7 linked regions of the Oryzias latipes genome follow. The protein of the gene in region 2 binds, or shares a complex with, the protein of the main gene of each other region. Links are inferred from orthologs where the notes say so. Each region holds a gene or a part of one and is shown on either strand. Other genes may lie near its edges.

The links.
Region 1: snw1 (region 2) and snip1 share a complex: the UniProt entries of both Homo sapiens proteins name them as parts of the SNARP complex. The link is inferred for Oryzias latipes from reciprocal best matches to the Homo sapiens genes SNW1 and SNIP1.
Region 3: snw1 (region 2) and armc7 share a complex: the UniProt entries of both Homo sapiens proteins name them as parts of the minor spliceosome. The link is inferred for Oryzias latipes from reciprocal best matches to the Homo sapiens genes SNW1 and ARMC7.
Region 4: snw1 (region 2) and snrpe share a complex: the UniProt entries of both Homo sapiens proteins name them as parts of the minor spliceosome. The link is inferred for Oryzias latipes from reciprocal best matches to the Homo sapiens genes SNW1 and SNRPE.
Region 5: snw1 (region 2) and cwc22 share a complex: the UniProt entries of both Homo sapiens proteins name them as parts of the minor spliceosome. The link is inferred for Oryzias latipes from reciprocal best matches to the Homo sapiens genes SNW1 and CWC22.
Region 6: snw1 (region 2) and ppil2 share a complex: the UniProt entries of both Homo sapiens proteins name them as parts of the minor spliceosome. The link is inferred for Oryzias latipes from reciprocal best matches to the Homo sapiens genes SNW1 and PPIL2.
Region 7: snw1 (region 2) and snrnp40 share a complex: the UniProt entries of both Homo sapiens proteins name them as parts of the minor spliceosome. The link is inferred for Oryzias latipes from reciprocal best matches to the Homo sapiens genes SNW1 and SNRNP40.

The regions. Positions count from the first base shown.
Region 1 is NC_019874.2:23,603,914-23,608,183, reverse strand, and holds the start of snip1 (smad nuclear-interacting protein 1), read left to right. Parts: upstream 1-1,470; 5' UTR 1,471-1,598; coding exon of another isoform or gene 1,599-1,669; 5' UTR 1,670-1,774; coding exon 1,775-1,914; intron 1,915-4,270. Other genes in the region: dnali1 (axonemal dynein light intermediate polypeptide 1), read right to left, coding at 1-129, 227-396, 948-1,060, 1,267-1,347. UniProt on the Homo sapiens protein: Required for pre-mRNA splicing as component of the spliceosome. As a component of the minor spliceosome, involved in the splicing of U12-type introns in pre-mRNAs. Down-regulates NF-kappa-B signaling by competing with RELA for CREBBP/EP300 binding.
Region 2 is NC_019882.2:3,678,808-3,682,745, forward strand, and holds the start of snw1 (SNW domain-containing protein 1), read right to left. Parts: upstream 2,801-3,938; 5' UTR 2,688-2,800; coding exon 2,674-2,687; intron 2,252-2,673; coding exon 2,098-2,251; intron 2,024-2,097; coding exon 1,862-2,023; intron 846-1,861; coding exon 750-845; intron 604-749; coding exon 497-603; intron 1-496. UniProt on the Homo sapiens protein: Involved in pre-mRNA splicing as component of the spliceosome. As a component of the minor spliceosome, involved in the splicing of U12-type introns in pre-mRNAs.
Region 3 is NC_019877.2:19,372,938-19,377,193, forward strand, and holds armc7 (armadillo repeat-containing protein 7), read left to right. Parts: upstream 1-1,456; 5' UTR 1,457-1,703; coding exon 1,704-1,794; intron 1,795-2,542; coding exon 2,543-2,686; intron 2,687-2,769; coding exon 2,770-3,113; 3' UTR 3,114-3,760; downstream 3,761-4,256. UniProt on the Homo sapiens protein: As a component of the minor spliceosome, involved in the splicing of U12-type introns in pre-mRNAs.
Region 4 is NC_019863.2:23,629,254-23,633,376, forward strand, and holds the start of snrpe (small nuclear ribonucleoprotein E), read right to left. Parts: upstream 2,801-4,123; 5' UTR 2,632-2,800; coding exon 2,578-2,631; intron 1,393-2,577; coding exon 1,366-1,392; intron 1,284-1,365; coding exon 1,221-1,283; intron 530-1,220; coding exon 451-529; intron 171-450; coding exon 115-170; 3' UTR 1-114. UniProt on the Homo sapiens protein: Plays a role in pre-mRNA splicing as a core component of the spliceosomal U1, U2, U4 and U5 small nuclear ribonucleoproteins (snRNPs), the building blocks of the spliceosome.
Region 5 is NC_019879.2:6,700,180-6,703,679, reverse strand, and holds part of cwc22 (pre-mRNA-splicing factor CWC22 homolog), read left to right. Parts: intron 1-1,910; coding exon 1,911-2,176; intron 2,177-2,563; coding exon 2,564-2,818; intron 2,819-3,026; coding exon 3,027-3,155; intron 3,156-3,500. UniProt on the Homo sapiens protein: Required for pre-mRNA splicing as component of the spliceosome. As a component of the minor spliceosome, involved in the splicing of U12-type introns in pre-mRNAs. Promotes exon-junction complex (EJC) assembly.
Region 6 is NC_019867.2:618,824-622,323, reverse strand, and holds part of ppil2 (peptidyl-prolyl cis-trans isomerase-like 2), read right to left. Parts: coding exon 3,369-3,500; intron 1-3,368. UniProt on the Homo sapiens protein: Has a ubiquitin-protein ligase activity acting as an E3 ubiquitin protein ligase or as an ubiquitin-ubiquitin ligase promoting elongation of ubiquitin chains on substrates.
Region 7 is NC_019869.2:21,982,921-21,987,085, forward strand, and holds the start of snrnp40 (U5 small nuclear ribonucleoprotein 40 kDa protein), read right to left. Parts: upstream 2,801-4,165; 5' UTR 2,675-2,800; coding exon 2,564-2,674; intron 1,314-2,563; coding exon 1,184-1,313; intron 1,106-1,183; coding exon 1,012-1,105; intron 761-1,011; coding exon 595-760; intron 481-594; coding exon 358-480; intron 1-357. UniProt on the Homo sapiens protein: Required for pre-mRNA splicing as component of the activated spliceosome. Component of the U5 small nuclear ribonucleoprotein (snRNP) complex and the U4/U6-U5 tri-snRNP complex, building blocks of the spliceosome.

The sequences.
Region 1 (4,270 bases), on a different chromosome or scaffold from region 2:
TCCCAAAAGCAATGCTGCTCTCAGACAAGTTTTGGTAGGCTCTTATCATCATCTGCATCTCATTTCTGACCCGGCACAACAGCAGACCTCTCTCCGCACATTCAATGGTTACCTGTCTGATGAGTTCATCTCAAAAAGGAAATAAGATGCATAATACATTTATATTTCATAACTATCCACATTTTTACTCGGAGATGAGCTTTGTCCCGACCCTCCGCTGTCTTACCGAAACACTGGGAAAACAGAACCCAGCGGATGGGGCAGATGCCAGTTGGTTTGGCCTTTTTCTGCTTTAGCTTTATGTTCAGCTGCTCCTGCAGATGAATGACATCTTTCCTCGTGGTAATGGCTGTAGATACTTTCTGCACCCACTGTTGGTCCCCCTCTGTCCATTCTCTGTAATGGTAAGAAATCAGAATTTACTTGGAAAATCATTTGACAGTAACTTTTGGATGCTTTCGGGATCTTAGATTGTGTGTCAGCTTTTTATTTTTGAATTAAGTAAAAAGCAGACGTATGTGTGATAATGCACCTGTGGGCAATATTTGCTGTCAAGACTTGATCTTTTTAAGTTGATGAAAGTTGGACATTCACTGAGCTACAGGACCTTTCCTCTTTTCCTTGTTAGACATTAGGATTTGTTGGTGATCTTTGGATCACATAAAAACTACATTTGTTCCAACTGTAGCTGTTCCACTGTGTTGTTTAAAGTTTTTTGAGTTACATGGCATGAAAAGCATCTGTTTTACAAAAAAAAAGCCTGATTTTATTTGATTTCCCAGATTTGACTTTTGAGAAATAAAAGTTGAGGATGGTCATTGTGCTCTGGTGCATGCCACAGTCTATGTTTGTCTGCATAACTTAGGAAGAAGAATAAATAATAATGAATCTAGAATAAATAAATCTGAATCGTTGTGCTTAGGTGAGCTTTTGAGGTTTTCTTTTACCTAGGTGGTAAGATGGCATGCAAAATGTTTTCATCCAAATTCTGTGTAGGGGGAGATGGAACACCTGCTGCAAAGCTGGGAGCTGGAAGGTTGCTCAACGTTAGAGTACGTCCCTATTAACGAAAAAAAAGGGGGGAAAATTGTACATTTATTTGTATTATTATTTTTTTGTAATTTCTTTTATTATTTTTGAAGATTTTATTTGGTAGCCTTTCATTGTCCACAATAAAGAAATTATGGAAGTACAATGAGATTTCTAGCCTTAATTGATATAGTTTCTGGGCGCCAGTTAAATAGATCATTAACCATCAAGACTTACCTTTTGAGATTTTTTATCTCCTTTTGTTTTTACCAATATCGGATTATCGTATTTCAAGAGGGACTCGCCAAAAGAAGTCATCGTTTTGAGGTGAGAGAGCAAGTTACACGTTTTGTTAGAAATACCGTTTCACTGTTTGTGTTGTCATGGCGACACTTTTTCAAAATAAAATAATATTGATTTGAACAAAGTTTCATTTAAGAATACTTTTTATGTAATACGACACGTATATGTGTCATCAATGCTTCAGTCTATGACAAAAAAAACTTGAACATCACGTTTTCCCCATTTAAAACGAATTAGGCCATGGCGGAACCAACAATAGGGAGCACATGGAGCACGTCGAGGGGATTAATTTGAGTCACCGGAAACGGAAGTTTGTTTTCACAACGCCAGAAGTTTGGTAACGCATCAAAGGTTTTATTTTTTATCTTGGCTTGTCTTTGTCTAGCTACTGTGTCGTGTTTTGGTTGAATTGAGCTCAAATTTATTGGAAAAATAAACTAAAATGACTAAAGAAAAGCGAGACAGAAGAAGGGAGTCTCCAGAACGGCAGCCCGAAGTGAAGATAAAGCAGGAGAAACTGAGCCCGAGTAGCACTAGCAGGCCACACAGATCACGCAGTCCACAGGGGAGACGAGCTAGCAGGTAAATGTCTGAAGGTTTTACTACGATTCATGACGTAAAACTGTCTAAATATAAAACAATTCACAACATTATTTTTTTGTTGTACTTTCGCTGATGAAAATCTAGCTTCCGGTTTTCATTTTTGACGGTTACGGAATAAACACTTAACGTAAGGGATACCCGGTTGCTCCAAAAGAGTTTTGATCTGAGGTTTCTGTAAATCAAATAATCCTTAACACGTTTGTGTCAAAAGTAGTATAAGTATCTGACTCGTATCAAGTAAATCTTGTTTATTGTTCTAAGATATTTTATTACCGTCTTGCTGATAAATCAAGGTTAGACTAGAGACATAAAATTTGCTTTAATTTTTTTTTTTATTGAAATATACTCATTACAAAACTCTGGCAGACACAACAACACAATGATGCAAGGCACAGCTCTTCACGAAAAACAAAGATAAAAAAAAAACAAGAATGTATACATATATAAAAAAAACTATCAGCATAAATTAAAATACAAGGCAATCAACAATCTGGACCCTAGATTTGTAACCATTCTGTAGCAGATTTACAAATGTCATCAATGAAAGAATTTGAGTTGTGAATACATTTCAATGAGGATAAATACAATCTGACTTCATTTTTAAAACACAGGAAATTCGGCCGATCTTTTTTCCACTTTTGCTTATGAATATATTTTCCCAAAATCAGGAGGATGTTCACTATTTGTTGGCTCTTTTGGCAACTTACTGTTTTAAAACAAAATATGTTTTTCTGTGAATTGTATGTTGTTAATTTTTTGACTAAGCCAATTATGAAAATCTTGCCAGAATCTTTCACTGGTCTGGACATGAAAAAAACAGGTGTTGGGTTGTTTCTGGGGTTACCTGACAGAAATCACACGGATCAACCTCAAAGCCAAATCTACTTCTCAATGTCTCTGCCGATGGGTAATAATTGTTTATAATTTTGAACTGCATTTCTTTAATTTTGGGAACCACTGGCCATTTTATGAATTTCCATAGTTGAGCATCTGATGTGACAGGTGTCTCAGTTATTTTATATTTCACTTTTCTGTTAAAGTCATGGTATAATTTACCTCTAAAGGATTTGTTTAGCAATTTATTATCACGTTTTTTTTCACTAAATTTTATTTCTCCTATTACTAAATTTGGTAGTTTAATTTGAACATAGGAAGACAATATTGTATTTTTTATTAAATGTATTGAAGCAATTGGAATTGCTCAGCAGGTTTTCTGAAATTCCTCGGTTGAGCATTCAATATCATATTTACCTTTGAAGTCTCTTAACTGAAGAATTTCTCCATTTGAATCAAGAATATCACTTACAAAATGATCTTAAGATAAATATACTTTATTGATCCCAGCTTGGGAAATTGGGTTGATGCAGCGTCGGCGTTAGGCTCAAGGTACAAACATACAAACAATAGATGACAACAGAGAACCAGAACAATTTTATTTATTTTTTTATTTGAAATGGTTTATTTCAAGCAATTAAGTAGAAATAATACACAACAGCAATATAATCATCAGTTATACATTCATACAGTAACTAATCAAACTTAGGATAATTATACATATTAATAAATATTGCTTGAAAGGGAGTGGAAGGAAGCGAATTTATATAATCCCACCCCGTTATACTGTAACCATTTTATTACATGATTTATCAATATCCGGTTCCCAGTTTATATCATACAGAATTAAAAATCATAAGATATCGATAAAGCACATGACAAAGATGAATTACTTAAGTATTACGTCAAAAATAACTATTTTAGAAATCAACATGGCAAATGCAGATCAGTCATCTGAAATATATGCAGATTATGTTACTTATAAAAGCCATTCATATGAATAAAACATAATACTATATCAGTAAAGTAGACACAACACTGTTTCAGGAATTTTCATAGCAAAATTTCATCAAGTATCAAAAGTTAAAAACATGTGCAAAATTATGCTACATTAGGAAAGATTTTTGAATCAATTTATCAATTTTTGGAGAAAGTGAAATAAAATCATTAAAAGGCAATCAATTTAACAATTTTCAATAAGTCATTAATCATTTGTTTTACTTTTTTAAATATTTTTTTTGTATTTTTATTATTATTTTTTTTATAATAAAGTAATGCTGTAGGGGGAAAGTAAAAAGGGTCCATAACTGTCGATTGTCCAAGGTTGGTCTTTCTTCTTTAACTGATAACAGCCGTACTTCTGGGTTCAAAACAGAGTTTATAGTTCTCTTCGATGTTATGACTGCAGACATTAGATTCAGGTCCATATCCTTCTTCAGCTGATATCAGCGACGGTGAAAGTTGAGGTCAAGTTGTCTGCAGGTCAGAACTCTCTGCTGTT
Region 2 (3,938 bases):
TAGGAGGAGAAATATTTGAAAAGTTGTTTATTGAAGGGGATTTTATTTAACCCCATGAAGGGTAAATCAACATCTCCATATACTCTCTACACAACTTTCAGTCGTTTTCTGCAAACGTCAGGTGGAAAGGTTCTCGTCAATCATCGACTCGCTGGTGCTTCAACGCAACGTTGAAGGAAACTTCCAGCTTCAATATTTGCAAAATGTTGTGATAGACCGACTGTTCAATACTTCCTTTTGTTGTTTGATATAGTTCCAGAAGTAAGCATGTTCGATTAGACAAGAGATGTTTATGCTTCAGCCTCTACGCTTGATTGGTGGAGAAAGTGTTTAAAATAAGAGCAGCTGGCAAAAGTAATTGGGCAAAAACGTCGCAAGAATTGGTTGAATTCATGTGAACTGGTGTGATTGCAAAATCCAAGAGGATCTGATGGAACAACAAAGAAGTCCTCGATCTAAAATAGAAGTACTGTTTATGATTCAGGTAAATTGCTACCTGATATATTGTGCAGGAGCGAGTTTGTCGGCGGCCCGGACAGGCATGGCTGCAGCAATCTTTTGCGACACCTGCTTTTGTAGAGCGGCCCGAGTCTTCTCAGTCAACTGCAAAGAGCATCCATCCCCAACCATGAGAAACTACACATGCTTACAGTAATTAAAAACAATAAGTAAGGGCACGCTGAAAGACAATTTCACCAAATCGGATGAATGAATCCTGAATGTCTGCACGAGCCCGAGCAGCAAATTACCTCTTCTACAGCCTCCTCATCCGGCTTCTGAAGGCCTGAAGCGTCTTCATTAAGAACTTCTTTTGGGAGCAGATCAGTGTACTTGCTGTAAATCACCTACAAAAATCAAGAAGAAAATTATAGAAATAATCTCACTCAAAATTTACCAATATGGCAAAACATGCAGACTCATAGAATAGGATAGATTGTGTAAAGCTGCGTTTACACTAAATGCCATTTGCGCATTAGGAGTGTCCAGTTTTAATGTTAGCTTAACGTAAAGAAGCAATCAGATTTGATTTTGGAGCTGCACACCAGTCTGGCAGCCGCGCGCTTTTTTGGCTGTTGCGGTGCGTCAAGAGTTCAAAAATATGAACTTCGGCAAACAAGATGCGCCGCGTCAACCAATCAGGGACTCCTCTTCGGACCGGGATGCGTTGAAGATGTTATAAGTGGATCAAGACACACAAAAAAAGGTCCTGAATGCAGAACAGAAAGTCGTCAAACTGGGTTTCCCTTTCAGGAGCAGATGTGGGAGTCTCTGGATGATCTCATTGATCAAGACATGGAGACGTGCCTATCGACATTTTTGTAGAGCTCTTCAAAGTAGAAAAACGTGATATCTCAACATCATCCCTGTCTGCAGCAATGAGGCTAAAACCGTTTGGCGGTAGCTCCTCCCACATGCGTCTGGAGTGTCGTGTATGAACACCAATAGAAATGTAAGGATCAAACATGGTTTTTACAAAAAACAAAACACTATAGTGTGCATTTTTTTTAAATGACAACCAAACCAAGCTGTATTACCAAAGTTAAGATTAGGTCCCACATTTCTGTGGAGATTCTGTCATCCAGAACATCGGTTCTTCAGCTGGACTTTTAGAGGTCAATTTAGAATCTGTCAAGTCATATAATGAACCTCTCATGTTAGTTTGATAAAGTTCATCGTGTCTTGTATTATTAACTGACTTGTTGGTTCTTTTTTATGTGAAAAAATACAAATAAAACACAGCCGTGTCTGATAGGAATAGAACCAAGAAGTCAGAACCTCTCATGTATTTGTGGACACTAAGAGCAAGAATAGGGTTTTAAAGCTCCTCACTGACTGCCAGAAAGAGGAAAAGCTCAAGTACCTTATCCTTAGCCTGTCCTTGTCTGGCAATGGCATCATATTTGATTTTCCCTTCTGCGTCCACTTGAACTGCCAGGGCGTTAGAGGTCTTCTTCTTCCTGCCCATCTCCAGAGGAAACTGGGCCACGTGAATCTCTGGAAAAGCCCCGCCATCTCCGAAGTCCTAGGAACACCCAGAATGTTTTGTAGAAATGCGAAACTAGGCAGTGAACCAATGTGTAATCCATTGAAGTGCACCTCAAATGCACGCGGAACCCAGCCTTTTCTGTGTCCGTAAGGAGGGGGTTCTTTACGGGACGCAACCAGCGCAGTGGAATAGGATTTCTGGGTCCGAATCCGCTCTTCTGCTTCCAGCTGGTCCTGAGACAGCTGGGTCGGTGCCGGTAAATAGCTGTGCAAAACAGGTCCACATAATGCAGTTTAAAGACAACTTAGCAAGTCGCTGTAAACGCGGATCAGCGTGAAACGACGTCAAAGTAGCAGGAACAAAAACTGCAAACCTGAAACGTTAATGCAGGTAAAGAGGTTTATTTAACACGATATCAAATACATGTGTTTAAGTAATAGATTAAACAAACAAGCTAACTTCAGAAACGGTCGTTTGAGGGTACAAGCTAATGCTAACCCCGTCTCACTAGTTAGCACTAGCTAGCATTAGCTAACATCATAAACACAGAAAAGAGCGAAACGTTTAAAGTTTAACTAAATATTTAACGTTTAATATTAAACCAAATAAATGTATAACAAACACAGACAGAAACTCCGATCGCATTTTGTGCCTTATTCGCCAAAAGGCCTCACTTAGAGACTTACCTCGTCAGAGACATTTTCCTTTCTTCCTGAACTATGAAGTGAGCATGCGCAAGAACAGGCCGTAAGCGAAAAAGAGAAGAAGGTTGCCAGGTTTGACAATTCTAAGCTCTAATACATATCAAACCATGTCCAGTTCGATAAAAACAAAATAAAATAAAAGTACATACTCGTTTTACAACATTTTATTTGTTATGTTAACTTGTTAAGTTAATTACATAATAAAAGCCAATGCACACAAAAAACAGGCTTTCACCCACCCAATGAAAAAAACACGAAACTTTATACATACACTTGTGCTTCCCACATTTTTTTCTAATTATTAAAAAACCCTATATGTTGTATTGGCCAATCATCTATTCATCTATAAAATAAAGTTATTAAATATTTAAAATAATTGAAATAACACAGCCTTTATATTTTCTATGCATACAAATTTGGACTTGCTTTACTTCTGACGGCCGCTTATCCAAATTCCTTTAAAAATAAATTACACCCTGTACCAAATAAGATCTTCTGGCTGCATCATAACTTATAAACTATAAGAACTTTGTCTCTGAACAGCAACTACACAGTGTTGTGGCGCAGAGGATCAGAAAAAGAGCTTTAAGGCTTATTTGAAAAAAACAAAACAAAAAACACTCAGACAGTACACTACAACTCTTATTATTATTTTGTTCCAAACTTCACATTTATAATTTCTTCAAATCATTCCCTTTTTTTTTTTAAACCTTAGAGCCACAATGGATGGACATGTGGCTCCATAGCCTCAGGTTGCAGATCCCTGCCCTGGACTCAGCAGGCCAGGTTCCCAATGAAGAAACACGGGAGTCAAAGGTAAAGTTAAGAAGTTAAAGCAACATTTAAATTACACAAAAAACAACAATAGAAAAATAATAATTTTATAAAAAAACAAGGATGACAGAATAAAAGAATGATATGCTTGAATAAAAAAAATGCATAAATGTTTTTATAAATTACATAAGGATACTTCAGATACATATTTTGTTACTTCAAAAGAGGATTTTTTTTTGGTGGATGGAAACTTCCTCCATTTCCTTTGGATTGTTTTCATATTTAATAAAAAGTATCATTCATATTCAGGAAGAGACTCAGACTGCCAGAGAACTTTTGCTGAAACAGAAGGAAATCCCTTAGGATCTAATAGAAAACAGGTAGCCACCTTATTAAGTCCACTCATGGATAAGTGATTTCATATCCTGCTTTCATGCAGATGTTGCGAGTCTAAATCCTTTTTCTGTCAATCT
Region 3 (4,256 bases), on a different chromosome or scaffold from region 2:
GGCGTCATTGCGAGCGCGCTCCTGGGCCCGAAGTTCATCCACATCTTCAAAGAACCTGTGTCTGCAAGACAGAAAAATACAAACACAGGACACAAAAATAAGCTGCATTTTAAACCACAAAATGCAAAAATGGGCTCTCTTTAAGACAGTAACCTGGTTTGGAAAAGCACAATCTGCAGCTCAAATTCTTTTTAAAACTTTTTTTTAGAAAAGGAATCTCTGCAGCAGTACACCAACTAAACCAGAGCAGATTTCACACAAAAAAATTTAAAAAAAATTTAAAAAATGTAATCTGATAAAAGCAGCTGCACTAAGTGTCAAAAACGTGACACCAATGTAGAAAAGAGAAATTTGTGAAGTGAAAAAGCCCCCCACTTCCAATAACACAATATGTTTTACAAAAAAGATTCTTATTTTAAAGATATATTTTACAAAGACATTTATTTAGATTTCTTTAATTTATTTTAAATAGTAATTGCACTCCAGGTTGTAGAAGATACTGGTCAAAAACTGAAATTATGCTAAATAATCTACTAATTAAAAACATTAGTGTCTCATTACAAATGATTACTAATTATAAATTAAAAATGCTGTTACCTGCAGTCTTACACTTATATAATTAAATGTTAGTATTTTTTGTGGTGCAAAGAAAGAGTATGTGTCTGTGATGCCTTGCTTTGGAAATAAAAAGGGCTACAAAATAAAAATAGTTGTATTTTTCCTATTACTAAAGATATTTAAAGACAAAATTTCCTGTTAATGAAATTATGGTTTGGCTCCAATGTTAATTTGTACTTAAGGACAGTACAGACATGTTTTCAGTGTTTTTCTTAAACTTGATTACAATCAAACGTCAGCGTCATTACGCAAGGACAACAATCTCCAACGTTAAACACATAAAAAAATATTCTGAATATATAGACTAAAGTCTATATTTGCGTTATAACTTTCCTATTGTTTTATACAAAATAAGAAAATAGATCACCTGTTTATGTAAACAGTGGCAAGTCCAACAATGATGCTCCCGAACAGAATAGGTTTCGTGAGCCTTTTAGCTGCAGAGAGCTTGTGAGGCTTCATTGCTGCAGAACTTTAAATCAGAAGGTTCACGGCATAGAATCCAAACAGCAACAGAAACGTGAGTTTGTTTTCAGCTGACCTTCCTGCGCGTGAGTTAGTTAGCTGAAGGGACGTTGGAGCGCCTCAACTTCCGGTCCAGCACTGACGTCTATGTCGACAAAGAAGTACCGACTTCCGTTTGAGAATTGAATTTCGTAAAGTAATTTGCTTTTATCGTCTATGACAAAAAGTAATCATTTAATTAAATTAAATCAAAGTGATTTATTACCGAAACATTATAGGCCTAATTATTAAAAATCACAACGTTTTAAGTGATAAAATAAATTGACAGCTCTTTTTTATGTAAGAACAGCTTAATTCTACTTTTGGGTTTCATTTTTAATTGTTATTCTGTTGCGTTAACAGTTCATCCAGTCTTCAGAAGAAGAAAAAAAAAGAGTCACGAAACAATATCCCGGAACCACTGTCCAAATTCTAATTTAAGCCGGACGTATTTGAAAGACGGACAAAATGAACGAACTACTGAAACCAAATGCATAAATGAGGATACTATTTCAAATGTATTTTATTTTTTTGTTTTAATCGCGCGTTTGTCTTCTTAAAAACACAATATAAGATACTGAATGATGAAACGGAACTTTTCACCCGAAACCTCTGACCGGTTTGAATATTTACAGGCTCTTGTCACAGAGTTTCAGGATAGTGACAGTGAAGGTAAAAACACAAATAGCTCGCAGATTCATTTAGAAAAACTAAGAATTATTGCTAGTTTACAACAAATTCTTTGAAATTAAATTGTTAATGCATAAACATTGTAATGAAAGCATGTCTTACTTATATCAATCCATGATAGTCACTTTATATATATATATATATATATATATATATATATATATATATATATATATATATATATATATATATATATATATATATATATAATTATTTTTTTATTTTTATTTATTTTATTATATATATATATATATAAACTACAAAAATTTAATTTTTAAAATCTGAATGCTTAGAAACAGGACAGATTATTCAGGAAAAAAACAATGCATTTATCTTTTAAGATTTTTTTTTTTAAATAATTATGCTTTAGTAATTCTGACGATCATGTTTGAATACTAAATTAAAAATGCATAATGACGTTTTTTAAAAATCAATAAAACCAAAATTTAACAAATGCCATTTAATGATTTATGCTGATAGACTTTTGCAGCCTTTTATATGCAATATATAAAGGATCAAACTACATATTATTGTCCGTCAATAATTTTTTAGGAATGCAGGTCTTTAGTCTTATTTTTAATGTTGAGGTGTAAAAAAGCGCCCTCTGGTGGATTAAATTTATCTTGCTTTTGGTCCTTGTTCCCGTTTCAGTCATTAATGTCCAGTATATGTAATTTAATTGAATTTGAATCTGATTCTGTGTTTTTTATTTATGTTCTGTTGTCGTTAGAGGCAAAGGAGCAGGTTTTGGCAAACCTCGCCAACTTTGCTTACGACCCAAAGAACACAGAGTATCTGCGACAGCTGCAAGTGACCGACCTGTTTCTGGATATGTTGACTGAGAAGAACGAGAACTTTATTGAGTTTGGAATGGGTGAATCTTTTTAGATTATCATTTGGGTTTTTTTGTACCATAAATGCAGTGAAAAACATTTTTTTTGGTCTAAATTTTCTCAGGTGGGCTCTGTAACCTCAGTATGGACCCAGACTGCAGGGACCTCATCCTGGACAGTGACGGCATCAGCTTAATCACAAACTGTCTGTCAAACCAGAGGGAGGAGACAGTGCTATCAGCAATTACTACCCTTATGAACCTTGTGACTCCAGCTTCACAATCTCAGCTCACAGAGCCAGGCATCTTGCAGTGCATGCTGCGTTTCTCTCTTGCTGAGAGTCCCCGGCTGCACAACCTAGCTGCTGTGTTCCTGCAGGACTGCTGCACCAAGGATCAGGTCAGGCAGGCCGAGCAGCAGATGCAGGGACAGCAGATGGCTGTTGGGATCCCACTACCCAAAGACTAAAGACTTTGCTTCACAGTCAAGTGGAAACAAACAGTGACCGTTTTGGTTTTATGATTGTTTAATTTCTGGTGTTTTCAGCAGATGTTGAACCGATCTGGAGGATTTCCTTTGAACAAAATCCACCCTAAAGTTGGTTATGAAGAGAGGAAAATTAAGCTGCTTGTCCAGGTCTTGCACCTCCTCTCATTTGCAGCTGGAGTTTGCACAGGACTCATGTCTTCACTGGATCAGAATCTGAATATTAAGATGGTTTTTGTATGTTTTTAAGCACAAGTACATTTATAAAAGTAATTTGAAATTTGCTCAAAACAGGCTTCCAGCAAAATGAGTATATTTGTTCTCATGGAAAAATGGTAAAGATGTGTTTTACTAGACAGAAAATAATTCCTTTCAAATGTTGGACACCAACTGAAAAGGTCAGATACTCATCAAAGGAAAAATGAGGGAAAGTTTGTCTGTAGTCGTATTAGATTTAAAAAAAAAAGACATATAGAAACCCAAGTTATCCTGCTTTCATGGGAGGAATACGTTTCTACCAACTGTCACTAATCAGCAGAAATACCAAACCTCATGGAAGCCTAAGTTTGTGGCTTTCTTAGTCTGGATAATTCAGGTGTCTTTTATTGAAATAAAAAAAATCTACAGAAGTTCTGCCTTCGTGTGAGTGTTTGGCTCTCCTCCCTTTAGTCCTGACTTGGGCGGCATGATATGAGGAAAATTTGCAACATTGGTGATCAATATTGCGATGACAATATACTTGCTACATATCAACAAATAGCAAAAACAGCTGCATTTTAATTTTACAACAACAAGGGTTAACCCTTGTGCTATCCTAGACATTTTAACGTTGGGAGTTGGGTCATCTAGACCCACTAGACAGTGCGCTAAACCTTTTTTCTTCAATGATTTGTGATCTTCACTGGTGTCAATGGATTACATGACATCTTTCCACCTTTATCCACATTTGTCATGGTAGGGAGAACACGTCGATGTAAGGGTGGGGTCATCTAAGATATCACAAGGGTTTCGTAAAATGTAAATAGTTTCAATTATTTACACTCCAAATGACCCTCGTCTACCTATGAGGCGAGCATCTAACATAAAAGGGCTCCATCCGATTGGTCAAATGCACAAAGGGATTTA
Region 4 (4,123 bases), on a different chromosome or scaffold from region 2:
GAAAAAAACAAAGCCATTTATTCTCAAAGGTTGTAGAGAAACTCACATTTATGCATAAAATCGTAAGCAGTTAACAGAAAAAAAAGACAGGATCTGCAGTCGTCACTGGTGTCACTAGGTAGAGACACTCTGCAGCAAGGTGATGTTGTCGCCCTTTAACATAACCCGACCTGTGAAACAAGGAAAGAAATTTATCTTGACATTTTAAAAACTGACATTCCTGAGTGTATAACAAATAAATACTGACTGGAAAAATATTTCTATGTTTTCCTCAAACAAATATTTTGTTACAGCAGTTCTAGAAACAAAAGCTAACAGTACATGTTAATAAATACAAAGAATATTCAAATTTTTCATTGTAAAATAAATAAATAAAGCTGTTCTAATAACTGCTAAGATCAAAAAATAGTAACTGAAATTTAACAAATTAAACAAGCTAAAGAGTCTTACCCAGTGGCTTTCTGTTCTTGGTCTTCATGTGGACCTCCTCAGCATCATCTAGAACCAGGTTCATGTACTCATCAAAGCCCTGGAAAATAAAATAAAAAGGAAATAATCAATTAACTACTTTCATAACTGAAGCTGTTTGGATTCATTTAAATTCAGGCTCTCAAGGTTTTTCCCCCCCAAGAAAACGGCACAGGTTGTTTGTTTTTATTTCGGCTAAAAACAGCATAATCATAGTTAAAAGATCACCGAGAATGTTCTGAAAATAGATTAAAGTGTCAAGAGTGTAGGACCGGCAATTTCAATTGGTCTCCTAATTCATGCTTAGTTTGTCATTATGCTGTTCTCATTGATCATTTACCTACTGTATTGTGAGTCTGAACCAGTGTGTGTTTTTTTTGTTGCCGTTTTCAAATACATTTTTAAATCAGCTGCAGAGTTCTGCTCTACTGGTAAGAAAGGTGCCCGCTGCAAAAGCAGCTAAAACAGAGCCCCAAAATAGTCGTAGAAAAAATTTCTGCAAAACAGTTTTAAGTTGATTATTGTGGATCTAACACCAGCCATTAAGAACTTTTACCAAGCTCCAATAAAAAAAATAACTAAAATGCTAGGTCAGTGGTTCTCAAACTTTCTCTTGTTCCCCCTTTTGGAGCGGAGAAGGAAAACCTGGAATCGTCGATCGTTTTTACAGTCTATACCAGTTTTAAAGTAACTGTGGCACACATTTGGAAAGTTAACAAACACTGTGAAAGTAAAATAAAGAGAAATCTTACAATGATGCAGCCTTCTATCCGCATGTTCACCTGCTCATAAAGCCACACCTGGATTCGTGAGCGCTGCAAAGCAAAGATGACACGAATCAGTATTTCAGTCACCACCGAGACAAAAGGTGAACCTGCAAGAGCCTTCAATACTCACGTTCTGAAGGTATCTGAAAATGAGGTTCTGATGAACAGAGTCAAGGAAATGACATGTCTAAACCGTTTCAATGTTACAGAAGATATTTCAAATAACATGAACTAGTCATTTCAATTTCAGTAGAGTGACACAAACTGTTTTGCACTTTAACCGGAGAGCTGAGATCCTGTTAAATACCAGTGAATGTCATACATTTCAATGTAAGCCAGTGAAAAAGGACTTCACAAACCAATTACATGACCGAAATGATGAAATAAAGCTATGGATGACGCAGAATTTGCTCGAAAGTCCCACTCAGATCATTTTGATCTATTTTTGAAGTATTATCGGCGGTCTTTTAACGTTAGTTATGCCTTTTACCAGCTTACAGAAATTCTGCAATTGTTCTAGAGTTTTACAGTTTACTATTTAACTTCTGCTGATGTATCCACGTTATAACGTAAACTGTAGGGCAACCATGTCAAAACAACTGAAGACACGCTTAAAAATGGATTTAAAACGGGTTCTGGCATTAGATTTTCTCTTATTTATTGACTTTGTTAGGGGTTTTTTTACGAGTCAAATTTTAATGGTATTCTTAATTTCTTTAACATCTTTTTTATTTTTTTATAGATGACATGTCACTTCATAATCAAGAAAAATAAGAAAACAGGTCTCACACACTCACAGGGACAAACTTGAGTTAAGTTAAAAACCAAATAAAAAACTACAAAATATGACCAATTGTTACAACAAATCAAAAGAACATTTAATTATCAGACCAAAGTAGTGCATTTAACTAATATTATTAGTTTAAGTCGTTAAGTGCAACATCTCGATTGTTGACTTCTTTTTTCACTAAAAGAAAACTCTGCCAAAGGTAAACGTGTCATTGTTTTCTTCTTTCCAATTAAACAAACGTATTTTTGTAAAATGTATAATAGTAAATTGATAACCCATCATATTGCTATGTACGTTTAGAAAATGCTAAAAATGTTTGTTTCAAATTCAATTTCTTTCGAAGTACAACGTCGTGCTTAAATTTGATCGATAAACAGAAAAATACGTGCTTCAATACTGAAATTAAAAAAAGTCAGTAAATATGCATTCCAATGTATTTAGAAAGTCATGTAGTACCTAGAAAAAAAAGGAATACAGTTTACCGATGAGCAAACACGAGAAATAACCGATTAGCATCGCTGCTAACAAATGCTAACAGCAAAGAAAGGATACAATGGGCTGCACCATAACCTTCTGCACCTTCTGTCCTTGTCCTCGGTAAGCCATTCTCTTCACACGCAAAAAAGACACGCAAGAAGTATTTCGTTAAAGAAATATTGCCTTTTACAATTGAATGATTTCAACGTTCAGCTCACGATGCCAAGTTGCCTTAATGGCGGGTTTCTTTCCGCATCCGGTTCCTGCACTGAAAGGTTTCCCTTCACCGAACAAGCGCCACCTACAGGCAGGATGTCAATACTGCACAATTTGATATTTGGTCAAAAATTACGTTCAGTGTGAAATCCTTCAAATATGCAGACTAATTATGACTTATAAAAAGTATGAAAACACATCTGGTACCAATTAAAAGGCTAAATTTAATAATTAAGTTGTTTTTGAGTCACCATATTTTTTGTCAACGTCTGTTTCAGTACATATTTATTTCTTAATCCTGAAGGGAAAAATACAAAGGTTTTGCTTCGACTTTTTTCTTGTACATTTTCAGTAATCGTTTATTTTTGCTTGGATTAATTTCAGTGATTAACACAAGTACCAATAATATTTGAACAGCTTTCATATAGCAGAAAAGAAGGTTTAAATATTGATACATCAACTAGTTTGGATATAGCGTCATTTACTTCATAGATGTTCAATTGTTGGATGTATATAGTCTAATTTATCATTTAGATTTTTATTTTTTTATTTTCCTATTACACATAATATTAACAAGCATACAGATATGTAATTACTGTAGTTGTTTTTGCAACACAAATTCAATAAGTGAAAATTGTTGATAATTTTTGTAATTTTTCCATAATTGTTCAAACTTTTTATTATTATTATTTTCTTACAAGTAATTTTGTTTTCAATATTAGAGTTTAATTTTGTAAACTATTTCCTAAACATTTATCTTGACCAGGTTCTACTGTCACAGCAGTGACCTATTTTATCCAAAAGAGGGCAGCAGAGAAAAACAAAAACATAAGAAACAACTCGAGCCCAAGATGAACATTAGTAAAAGGTTTCACTTCACTTTCCTTATAAATAAACTTAAAGTTCTAATCTGAGTTCTACAATAAACATTGTTAAAAAGTGCAGTCGATTTAAAGAAGTTGTCTATAAAAGTATTTAGTCAAGAAGGTGAGAGGTACAAATGATTCTTCTTGTTCAGTAGTGTTCTTTCTTCAAAAAGGTTTAGAATTTATCGCATAACTTTTGTTTTTGATTAAATGTGAAATATATTTTCACCTGCAGATGCAGACCTATGAATTTAGCAGGAACATGAGCTCCATTGAGGAGTGTTTTTTCCCCACCTAAGATTTTTGTGAGCTAAATTAAGAATATAAAACATAAAAACATGTATGTGACTTTCTAATTACATGTGTGTTAAATTAAATTAAATTAAACCCCACTCTCTCTCACACACCTAAGTGTGCGAAATTTGTTTCCGCATTTGACCCATCCTGGGGGAGCGGTGAGCTGCAGACACAGCTGCACTCGGGAACCATTTTGGTGGATTTAACCCCCCCAATCCAACCCCTTAATGCTGAGTGTCCAG
Region 5 (3,500 bases), on a different chromosome or scaffold from region 2:
AAGGGGAGAGGATGATGACACCTGTACGATGTCATGCGTGTAAAAATAAAAGCTCAGGCTTCGTCTTGCCATGACTCTGGTACTTGTTTATCATGGCATAGCGACCATAATCATCTGTCTACAAGTTTCAAGACGGGTCCTAGGAACCTTTCTGTGACGTCATACCGGTCCGTGGCATTAAAAACGTTGGGGACCACTGTTCTAGAAGACTTCATGATTCCTCCTGCTGAGGATCTGGATGGAGACGCAGATTTCATCTTCCAGCAGGACTTAGACCCCGCCCATATCGCTACAAGCTCCAAAGCCTGGTTTGATGCTCGTCTGGCCTGCCAACTCGATAAACCTAAAGGCCATTGAAAATGTATGGGGTCAAACAAAAAAAGAGCTGACGGCAGCATCAAGAAAATCTGGGCTCCCATAACGCCACAAGCTGATTGCATCAATGTCACAGTGCATCAAGGCAGTTGTTAAGGCTAAGGGATTCCCAACCTAGCAATGAAGATCGACATATCATTTTGAAAATACATTATTTTAATGGATTTCATGTGATCATGACCTCCGTCTTTATCTTCTTGCAAAAGGGGAGATTTCCCCACAGTACCGTATTCAGATTTTCTGAAATCTTGTTTTTGTGGGTTTTATGAGCTGGAACTCCAATTAATCCCCAAACAAATACACTTGAAATCAATTAAATGGTGGGCCCCAAACCTTTACACTATAAAAGTTCAATTTTTTGAAATGAATTATGGAAATTAATACTCTTTTCCATGTAGAAAGTGTCTGTTTTGAATATACTATTTAAGACTCCTTAAAGGAGAAAAAAAGAAGAAAAAACTTCAACTTTTAATGATAATTTTCCACTTGTCTTTCTTAGTTTAAAAAAAGAGTCAACATAAATAAACTATTGAAATTAACTTCTCTGTTTAAATATATTACATTGTGCTGTTAATCCTAAAGACTTGGAAAATCATGTTTTATCTGTCTGGCTTTTCAAAATCAGATGCATCTGGAATTTAAATGTGTGAAGTCTGTCATTAACTTTTTTATTTTGTAAAGGTTTCTTCTTGAATGTCTGAGTGTCCTTATTATATACTTGTCTTAATTCATTTCAAAGCTTTTTTTCTTTTTCTAATGATCAAAATGTCCTCTTTTTTTCTGATGTCACACTATTATCAGTTTAAAGAGTACACTGTGCCCCAGAAAAGCTTTATGTACTGTAGACATTTGCACATCCACTATTTTTACATTGTTGATTTAAAGTCTTCAGGTTTCATGAATGAAAACTGACCACCATTTAGTTTAAACAAACTCGCAGAGAAAGCTGCCAAAAAAGATGCAATATCATTTCCATCTGCCATCATCTGAATCTTAGTTAAGCATTTCTGCCATCATGAGCATCATTTTAATAGATACCTTGACTTTGTGACTAAATACAACATATTTTATCTGATGTTAAATTCTTTTAAATACTACTTGTAATTAATAATTTCAGATTAAAAAAAAATAGCATCTTAATTGAGATTTCAGGCAGAGGGAAATTAGCTTTTTTTTTATTGAAGAAAGGCACCCCAGGATATCTGAGCAAAAACTGGAGTACTGATTGAGACAATAACAAATGAAAGAAGACTTTGTGGCAATGACTGTTTTCTGAGAGACGAGCTCTCCAGTTACCTGCAGGCTCTTATTTAAAGCAGACGGATGTAGACAGACGATGGACTGCAGAGTTGCTTCCGTCACTCAACTGAACTAAAGCTTGGAAGCAAAAAAATGTCTTTTTTTAATCAATAGAAATGGAATATTTGTTTTTTTAGATTGATTTGTAATGGTAACCCAAAAGCTCACATAGTTGCATGATGTGAACAGCTTAAGTTGGCAGTCTTGATTAACTGTCCTATGTTTGTGTCTTTCAGAGACCGGAGTTGAAAGAGCAAGCAAGGTCCAGATCCAGGGAAAAGGACAACTCCAGATCCAGATCCAGATCCAGATCCAAGTCGGGTGAGAAAGACCAACCCCGGTCCAGGGAGAGAGAAAGATCTCAGTCCAGGGGTCGTGATAGATCCAGATCCAGATCAAGATCCAGGGGAAGAGACGGATCGAGGTCCAGAAGACGGGACAGATCCAGGTCCAAATCTAGAGACCGGAACCCAGACCGTTCTAACAGAAGATATTATGCTCGGTAACTGTTAGACACACACCAACACTGTCTGATTTCATCCTATTTCTTTTAAATAGAAGGAAAAACTTCTTTGAATTTCATTAAGCAGCTGTGGATTTATATGTTAGGGTACCCTAGTTTAGAATTATCTTATTTTAAATCAAAGGTTTGTCATAATTATTTTTACTCTTAGATGTTCTTTTTTTTGCTGGATTTATCATTTTTTTCCCCATGTTTATTTGTAGACCTAACTTTTTTTTGGGTCAAAATTATTTTTGTAAAGTCTTTTAACATATTTAAATCCACTCTTTAGAACTAATGTTGAACAGATTGGACGAACGTGAGTCTCAAGAAATCGAACCTTTCACGGGTTTGACACAAAACCTTTTGAATATTTTTGATTTTCAGGGATCGCTACCAGGATCAACGCGACGATAGAAATGGACGCTTTGATTGGCGAGGCAACAGGGATATGGAGTCCGGTGAGAGGAGGCGGGGCCGCTCCGCTTCTCCTTCCAATGACAAGGAGCCAGATTCTGCCGAAAAGCCTCCCGTTAAGAAGAAAAAGGAGGAGATTGATCCGATCCTGACCAGGACCGGGGGTGCTTACATTCCCCCTGCCAAGCTGCGCATGATGCAGCAACAAATCACTGACAAGAGCAGGTGAGACAGAGATTAAGACCTTTTATTTAACTAAAGGTATGAACCCATTCTGGAACTTTCCATTTTAGTGGCAGGTTTTTATCAAGCTATTCACCATTTTTACGTTTTATTAGCAGCTTCAGATCACTTATTATTTCATTTATTTGTCTGTTCAGCAGCTGAAGTCAGTTTATTAGCCAGTTGATTAACTCGTTGCCTGCCTGTACAGCCTGGCCTATCAGAGGATGAGCTGGGAGGCTCTGAAGAAGTCCATCAACGGTTTGATCAACAAAGTCAACGTGTCCAACATCGTCAACATCATCCAGGAGCTCCTACACGAAAATATCGTCAGAGGGAGGTGAGCTTATGGTCAGATAAAAAACACTGCACATAACTTCTGAAAAACCTCAGTAACAACTGAGGCTAATATACGATATTCTGCTTTGAAGAACAGTTTCCGTTGCTTTTATTAAGTCATTTTTATTTATCAAATAATTTAAAAAACTAGAATGTAGGCCTGCAAAATAAATCGCAAATCAATTATTATACAATACGCATATCGCAAAAGACGGCGAAAAATTGCAATAAATGGTTCCCTTCAATGTGCTCAAACAGTCCTATGACACCTTAAAGTATTTAACGAATCAAATAAATCCATTTCTGCATTTGACCTCTCAGATGGACCCTTTACAACATTGACCAA
Region 6 (3,500 bases), on a different chromosome or scaffold from region 2:
ACAGGCAAACAACAAGCTAACAGGCAAACAACAAGCTAACAGGAAAACAACAAACAAGCAACAAGCTAACAACAAACAATAAGCTAACAGGCAAACAACTAGCTAACAGGAAAACAACAAACAAACAAGCTAACAACAACCAAACAAGCTAAAAACAAACAAACAAACAAGCTAACAGGCAAACAACAAACAAACAAACAACAAGCTCACAACAACCAACAAGCTAACAGGCAAACAACAAGCTAACAGAAAAACAACAACCAAACAACAAGCTAAAAACAAACAAACAAACAAGCTAACAGGCAAACAACAAACAAACAAACAACAAGCTAACAGGCAAACAACAAGCTAACAGGAAAACAACAAACAACCAAACAACAAGCTAACAACAAACAACAAGCTAACAGGCAAACAACAAACAAACAAACAACAAGCTAACAGGCAAACAACAAGCTAACAGGAAAACAACAAACAAACAAACAAACAACAAGCTAAAAACAAACAAACAAGCTAACAGGCAAACAACAAGCTAACAGGAAAACAACAAGCTAACAGGCAACAAACAAACAACAAGCTAAAAACAAAAAACTAACAACAAATGAACAACAAACGAATGAACAACAAACAAACAAACAACAAACGAACAGCAGGTGAACAGCTGGCGAACTACAAACAAAATATGAACACACGAACAACAATCAACCAAAAAGTACCATTGTAAAAGTACCAAGTAAGTAACCAGTAAATTCCATAAAAAGTACACATGTAAACACTGTAAGTACCCAGTAGTTACACAAAAAGTACCATGTAAATACCGCTTAAGTACACTGTAAGGACTGTACTGTAAAGGAAAGCGTTACTGAAAACCTTAGAGCCGGTTTCCAGGGGGGTATTCCAGACAGTAGGTTATGCTAGCTCTCACGGTAAGTTTGAGGCTAAGGAAGTTGATAACCTCAGCTTTCAGTTCCAAAAACAGAGGTATGTTTCAGGGTATGTCAAGTTGCCATAGCAACTCATGCTCTGAACATAACCTGGTCTGGAGCAGGTTTAGTTGAAGGTTAGTTTGTTTTCAGAGAGGTGAAGCAGCATGGCGTGTCCATTTGAAGATGATTTAGTGGATGAAGAAGCTCAGATAATACTTTTTCCACCATGAGAGGGGGATAAGACCACATATGGATGTTGGAAAGAGAAACTTTTTTACTTTGATCTAACTTAGTTATTTGCTTCAGTTAAGATAAATCCTTTGTTTGTTAAGTCAGTTTAAAAATAACACGTAGTTTTCAGACAGTCATTTTACTTTCATTCAAATTAATTCAATTAAGTAGGTTTAACTTTGGTGCTGCTGTTAGACCGGCACCGCAAGGGATTGTGGGATACCATTCCTTTTGCCTATCTGGACGGATTTGGGTTTAAGTGTGGCTTTTTGACCAAATGTGTTTAGTTGTTTAGCTGTTTTGCCGAGTTATTTTGTCCCACTGTGCTTATGTCTCTGCACCATGAGTGAGAGTGAAGGAGAGGATGATGAGTTTATAGAGCACCCCTACCGTTACATATTGTAATGACAAAGACGGACAATTCTTTAATGAATTTGTGCACAATGTGCATTTCTTTCCCGTCCTTTTTATTGTTATAAAAATGAACATATCTGCCGGCTCATACTTAGACATATGAGAGATCAAGAAATATAATTAATTAAGATGGAAAAATATTAATTGAATTGGAGTAATATGACATTTAGTTAGATAAATACATAAATTTGAGTTGTAAAAACAATTATTGAGTTTTATAGACGTAAGAAATTAGGTTGATTAAATTTAACTCAATTATTTGTTACCAATAGAAGTATTTCATTTAAGGTGGCAAAATTGGATAAGTTATATATATATGCGTCACAAGGAAAATGGAAATAAGATCAGAAACTCGTGCGTTTACTTTGTCTGTTCTTTTTCTCCAAGCAGAAACTTTCTTTTGCTGATGATGCAGCCGTGTCACTTTTTTGATGGTCGTATAATCTTCATACGCCGTCATTAATCTCAGACTCCGTCTCACTGAAGTATAGCGTTCTCTTTTTTTCTCCACGCGTTTCCATGGTGACTCCAGAAATCGGCGATCTATTGAGAATGTCTTTATGTACCTGCTGTGCACGTGCATTAACCCAGGGTTACCAAGTGGAGCGTAATTACACCAACTCATATCCGGTCTTTGGGAACCGACATACCCAGAGTAAGCAAGTTCAGGCAGATTTCAGCCAGAGTTCAGGCTTAAAGTCAGGGGAGTTTAAACATGCTTCCTGGAATACCCCCCTGAATAACTGCAATATTGATAATAAAAACATACATTTGTTGACTCCTTGAACATCAGAAAACCTGGTTTTCAGAGAAACGATCAACTATTCATTGAAGAAAAGCTGATGGTTTTAAAATGCCGACAAACTAAAAGGACATTAAAGGCAAGAGAGGCTTTCATGAACTCAACGTTTTGATTTAACATGATGGATGTAAACCTGGAGGCACGCCTCTTCGCTGCAGCGCTGAGGATTTGCGGCCCTCTCGTCCTCGCGTGCACATTTGTTGACACGGCGTTTGAGCAAAGCCGACAGCTCAGTGAGCAGAAAATGAACGTGGAGCCACAGACTTTACACGTTTCTGCTCCAGTTGCTGTGAAAGCTCAGACTTCACCTCATTTGCTGTGTCTGTTCTCTCAGACCACCTTCACCTCCAGACCGCCATGTTCAGGAAACCTCTGTGCCAAACGCAGCCCAGCAGCAAAAAGAAGCTTCAAAATGAGGAGAAAAGCTGCTCCAGTCTGACTGATTAGCTGTCATGTCAGTCAGTCCAACTCTGCTGTAGCTGCACACCTGTCTGTCTGGCTCCCTCTTGTGTTGGAAGCAGATATGGCACTTTTCATGAGCTGCTGGCTAAAAACGAACAGCTGATCTGACAGTGAAACGATCCAGACGGTTCATTTTACTGACAGAGCTCTGCTCCGTGAAGCAGCTTTCATTAGAGGAAAAACCAAACAGGTTGGCATCATTAAAAACCTGCTGTCCTTGTTTTCCAGTCAAACAAAAAGGCAGCAAGGCTCCTACGGTATTTATCATGTGACCAGGAACAGCTGAGCCATTGGCTTCATTTGTCTGAGTTGAAATGATGGATTTGAAAAACAAAAAAACAGCTGAGATCTCTGCTGCATGTGGGAGGGGCTGAGTCACTGCTGCATTAGGCAATTGTTCAGCAGTAAAAACAGAATCTGCTTCATAATTATTCAACAACTCTGAGGAGAAGAACAAGAAGCTCTGACGCTACGCCAAAACAAAGTGTGTCAGAACAACGTCAGGAGGAGTTTATTCCTATCAGGGTTCTACTCACAGCATTTAGTTTGTCCGTTTTCTTGGCCTCCGGCTCCTTCATGGTGGAGGCCAGCAGCTGATCTCCTTTGTATTCCTTGTAGAGCTCGGCTAAGGTCTCCCTGGTTTCCAGATTGGTGCTGTTCAGATGGTA
Region 7 (4,165 bases), on a different chromosome or scaffold from region 2:
TGAAACCGAAATTTTTTTTTTCACATGTTAGTCTTTATCTAAGTAGAATCAGATTATTTGGTGCATTTAAATGAAGGCAAACACATGATAAAACGTTGATTTAAGCTTTATGGCAGACTAATAAAATGTGTTATTTAAAACGGATTGAAAACAACTAAATCACTGATTTCTTTTTTCTTTCAAAATGTCAGAAAGTTTTTACCTTAAACACTGAGTTTTTATAAAATGTCAAACTTTTTTCTTGCCATCTACAGTAGAGCCACGTAGCAGCTGAGATTTCAGACTTCCTGTTAATCTTACAAAACAAAACCAAGGACACTCTGCTGGTTGTTGTTTTTTTTAGAACAATCCAAATACCTTGATGTCATTGTCGATGCCTCCAGACAGGATTTGGTCGCTGGTGTCATTAAACGTCACGGCCAAAACTTGGTAGGTGTTCTGGAAGGTGTGAATTGCCGCCTTTTTACGGATGTCCCACAACTGCAGTGACGATTAACAAAAATACAATAAAGCAACATTTAAAAACTTTGAATGGGACCTCAACAGTTGAAGCATTCAGAATAAATAACTGCACCTAAAATAAAAATGTCACACCTTTATCGTCCCATCATCGCTGCCGGTGCAGACCAGTTGTGGCCCCCGGCGAGCTGGGTAGCAGGTGTTAACAAAGGAAGTGTGACCTTTCAGGCGCTTAATCCTCTCCCCTGTTTCACTGTCCCAAATGCCCACGGTCTTGTCTGTGCTTGCCGAAAATAACAAGCTGGAGGCACAAAAATGATCCAGTCAAATTTTATGGAAAGGTTATTTAAGAAATGTAGATAGTTCCAAGTCCTAAAATTTACAGATGAACATTTTTTTTGTTCCATAAAGTTCCTTAGTTTTTGAAATCAAACTAAGACTAAGAAACAATGAGAATATGAGCTTTACTTTCACTGTAAACATAACCTAAAACAAGAAAAATGTCAATTTAAAGGTGAAGTTTAAAGATAAAATCTACAGCTTTCTTCCTACCTGCCATCTGTGTTGTAATGCAGCTCCATCACAGCTCCACTGTGGCCCTTCAGGGTGGCGTAATTTTCACACTCCCCAAAAACGTTCCACAGAACTGAGGTAAAGGAAGTAAGTGAGGAACAAAGCAACAGAAGAAGGCCGGGAGAACGGCAGCTTGCCTCTTTTTGCTTACATATGAGTCGGTCGAAGCCAGAAGACGCCAGCGTGGCTCCATTTGGATGAAATTTGCAGCAGTACACCTCGCCCTCGTGGCCCGACATCAGCATGATGGGAGCTTGCAGGCTGGAGGTCCGAGGAGGACCCTGGAGGAGAAAGGTCAGTTTAATTTACTTTCTGTTTTTTTCTTCCAGATTTAGTCCAAGTGAAATCTAAAAAGAAAACAGGCATGTGATAAAAGACAGATAAATAAAAGTGCGTTTGGGCTTAATGTGCCACAGAACGCTTCAGAGTAAAGTCCACAAAGTTTAATGCAAATCTGCAGCAGACCAGTGAGGAAATGGATCATTTGTAAAGGATCAAATTGATCATGTGACACAAAGGATCTTGCCACCCTATGGTGGCACACTTTCCATGCAGGGGCTTGTGGTGCAGAGGCAGAGCGGTCCACCTGATCACAAATATCGCAGGTTAGGTTCCACAAATGGGTGGGCAAGGCGGGAACCTAACCTGCGATATTTGTGATCAGGTGGACCGCTCTGCCTCTGCACCCTATGGTGGCACACTTTCCATGCAGGGGCTTGTGGTGCAGAGGCAGAGCGGTCCACCTGATCATGAATATCGCAGGTTAGGTTCCCGCCTTGCCCACCCATGTGTGGAAATGTCCTTGGGCAGGACACTGAACCCCACATTGCTTCTGGTGGTTATAGTTTGGCGCCAGTAAGAGAGCGAAACCGCCATCAGTGTGTGAATGTGTGTGTGCATGGGTGACTGTGAATGTGACTGTTGCAGGTGATATGTCATGCAGATTTTTGCAACATCAAAAGATGATTGCTAAAATGAAACCCCAGTGTTTAAAAGCTATTTATTTTTTACAATAGAAAAAAAAGATTTAGTATCTATCCTGTTAAATATCCTATAGTTTTGTCTCAATAATCAAAATATCTACTTACAGAAAAACATCTACAAACTGGAAAAGGTTTAAATACACAAAACTCATGCTTAATAAAAAAAATAACATTTTTTAATTTTCTATCATAACATTAGCCTAGGATTTGTAACCTGTTCACGGTTCACCCCGGAAACACCCATAACTGGGAAAGGTTCCTTTACCATCAGTTTGTTGATAACAACGGGATTTCGAATATAATACGTATTTTAAAGAAGCAACATTACATCCAAAAATTAAATATCCTAGCGAAAACTCGTGTTGTTATTCGTTGTCATGTGTTCTCTACGTCAAGAAATAATAGGTGCACCACAAAAAATGTCGTGTTTGAGTAAATTTTAGATTACATCATTTAAAGCATGCATAATACAAATGCGGGTCAACACCCGTGTGTATATATTTTCTCTAATTTGAGTTTTTTTGTGTGAACGTTGATTCTTTTCGTACCGTAGCCACGAGTTGCTGGGACTGTGCCGCCGCCACCAGCTCGTTCCGGGCTCGCTTCACAGCGGTGGGAATTACCGCCATGTCTCCCGCTCTTTTCTTTGGTTCAATCATCCCGAAATAATTGCAAATAATCGACAAAAATAAGTTTGTTTGTGACTACGGTTTACCGAATGACTATTTGCGCCTTCATGGGAAACGAGAAAAGCGTAGCACCAACGAAGAAATCAGGATGAAGTGTTTCCGGTGAGTATGAGCTGTGTGATTGGTTTAAACATCCATCTCCTGCTGTGATTGGCTGATGAAGACGTTGTCAGCGACAATGCACCGGAAGTACAACAATCTGAGTTCAGCTAACCACACGAAAGGTAATATTTTCATCCTTTTTTCAAGACTTAAGATACTTTTTGCGTGATTTTCCTTATCGTTCTACCACGACAAACGCCTATACTGTTCATGTCTGAGCTTTTGTCTTTGAACTGACGGTACAAACCGTAAGAGGACGAAATTATAAGCTAACCAAATTCATTGCTGACTTGTCTTGTTGTCAACTTAGATTTTTTGTTCGCTCGATTATTAAAAAACAACAACTTTGAGCTAATTTTTACATAAATAAAATTAGTAATTATATTTCTTTGGTACCGGGAAGTTAATGCTTTATTGCGACAGGTTGGCTTCATCGTAGTTTAAAATGACACGAATGACAATTTTCATTTTCAACCACATATTTGTACAAATAAATATCCCAAAAGGCACAAGGTCATTCTTTATTTGCAAGAAGTGAACAGCACAGCAGAGGTTAAAAATTTACCGAACTCTTTCTGTCAACCACATTACCTTTGAAATTAATTCATTTTCTTTTATGACTTTCGTTTGGTGAATTGGATGAAAGAAGATTGCTGTTTCATTTCCTCTCCCAAATTATGTAGAAATCTAAGAGAGGCAGTAAGTTGTCTTAAAGGGAAGAGTTTGGTCGGAAACCACGAAGATAAAGGGATTGCAAGTTTTCACCTCAAGGTCTCTGCTCTCTGAATTGTCTGGGCATAAACACTGATGGCAAATCTATCCATTTTGTAAACCCGTTTTGTCCCTTTCGGGGTCATGGGGCTGTCAGAGCCTTACCCGGCCACTCGCATGTTTTTGGATGGTGGGAGGAAGCCGGATCTCCTGGAGAAAACCCACGCATGCACAGATTTAGAGTAAAGCGCTAACCACTTTGTCACAGTGCAGCCCTGACCGCAGATCTGTACAAGGCAATGTATGCCACCTTAGTGCTGACTGATTGAGGAAACATCCAGGGGTTTTCTCTGAAAACTCACTTTACTGTTATCATCTCTAGTTACATAAAAAACCTGGTCTCCAGTTTGTATACCAGCTTCAGCTTGTACCAGACAATGCAACTACTTGGTTTTGGGAAACAGTACTGGTATAAAGTTGGCACATACCGATTCTAAACAGGTACTTATGACTGTGGCAGAGCACCTCCTCACTTGTGGGTACCAAAATCTCAAAACTAGAGTAGTTTGAGCAAAAAAAATCTAGGATGAGCATAAGAGATTTGACATTTGTGTGGCGAGCTCAGCTCAAATTAAGGGAGTGATAAAC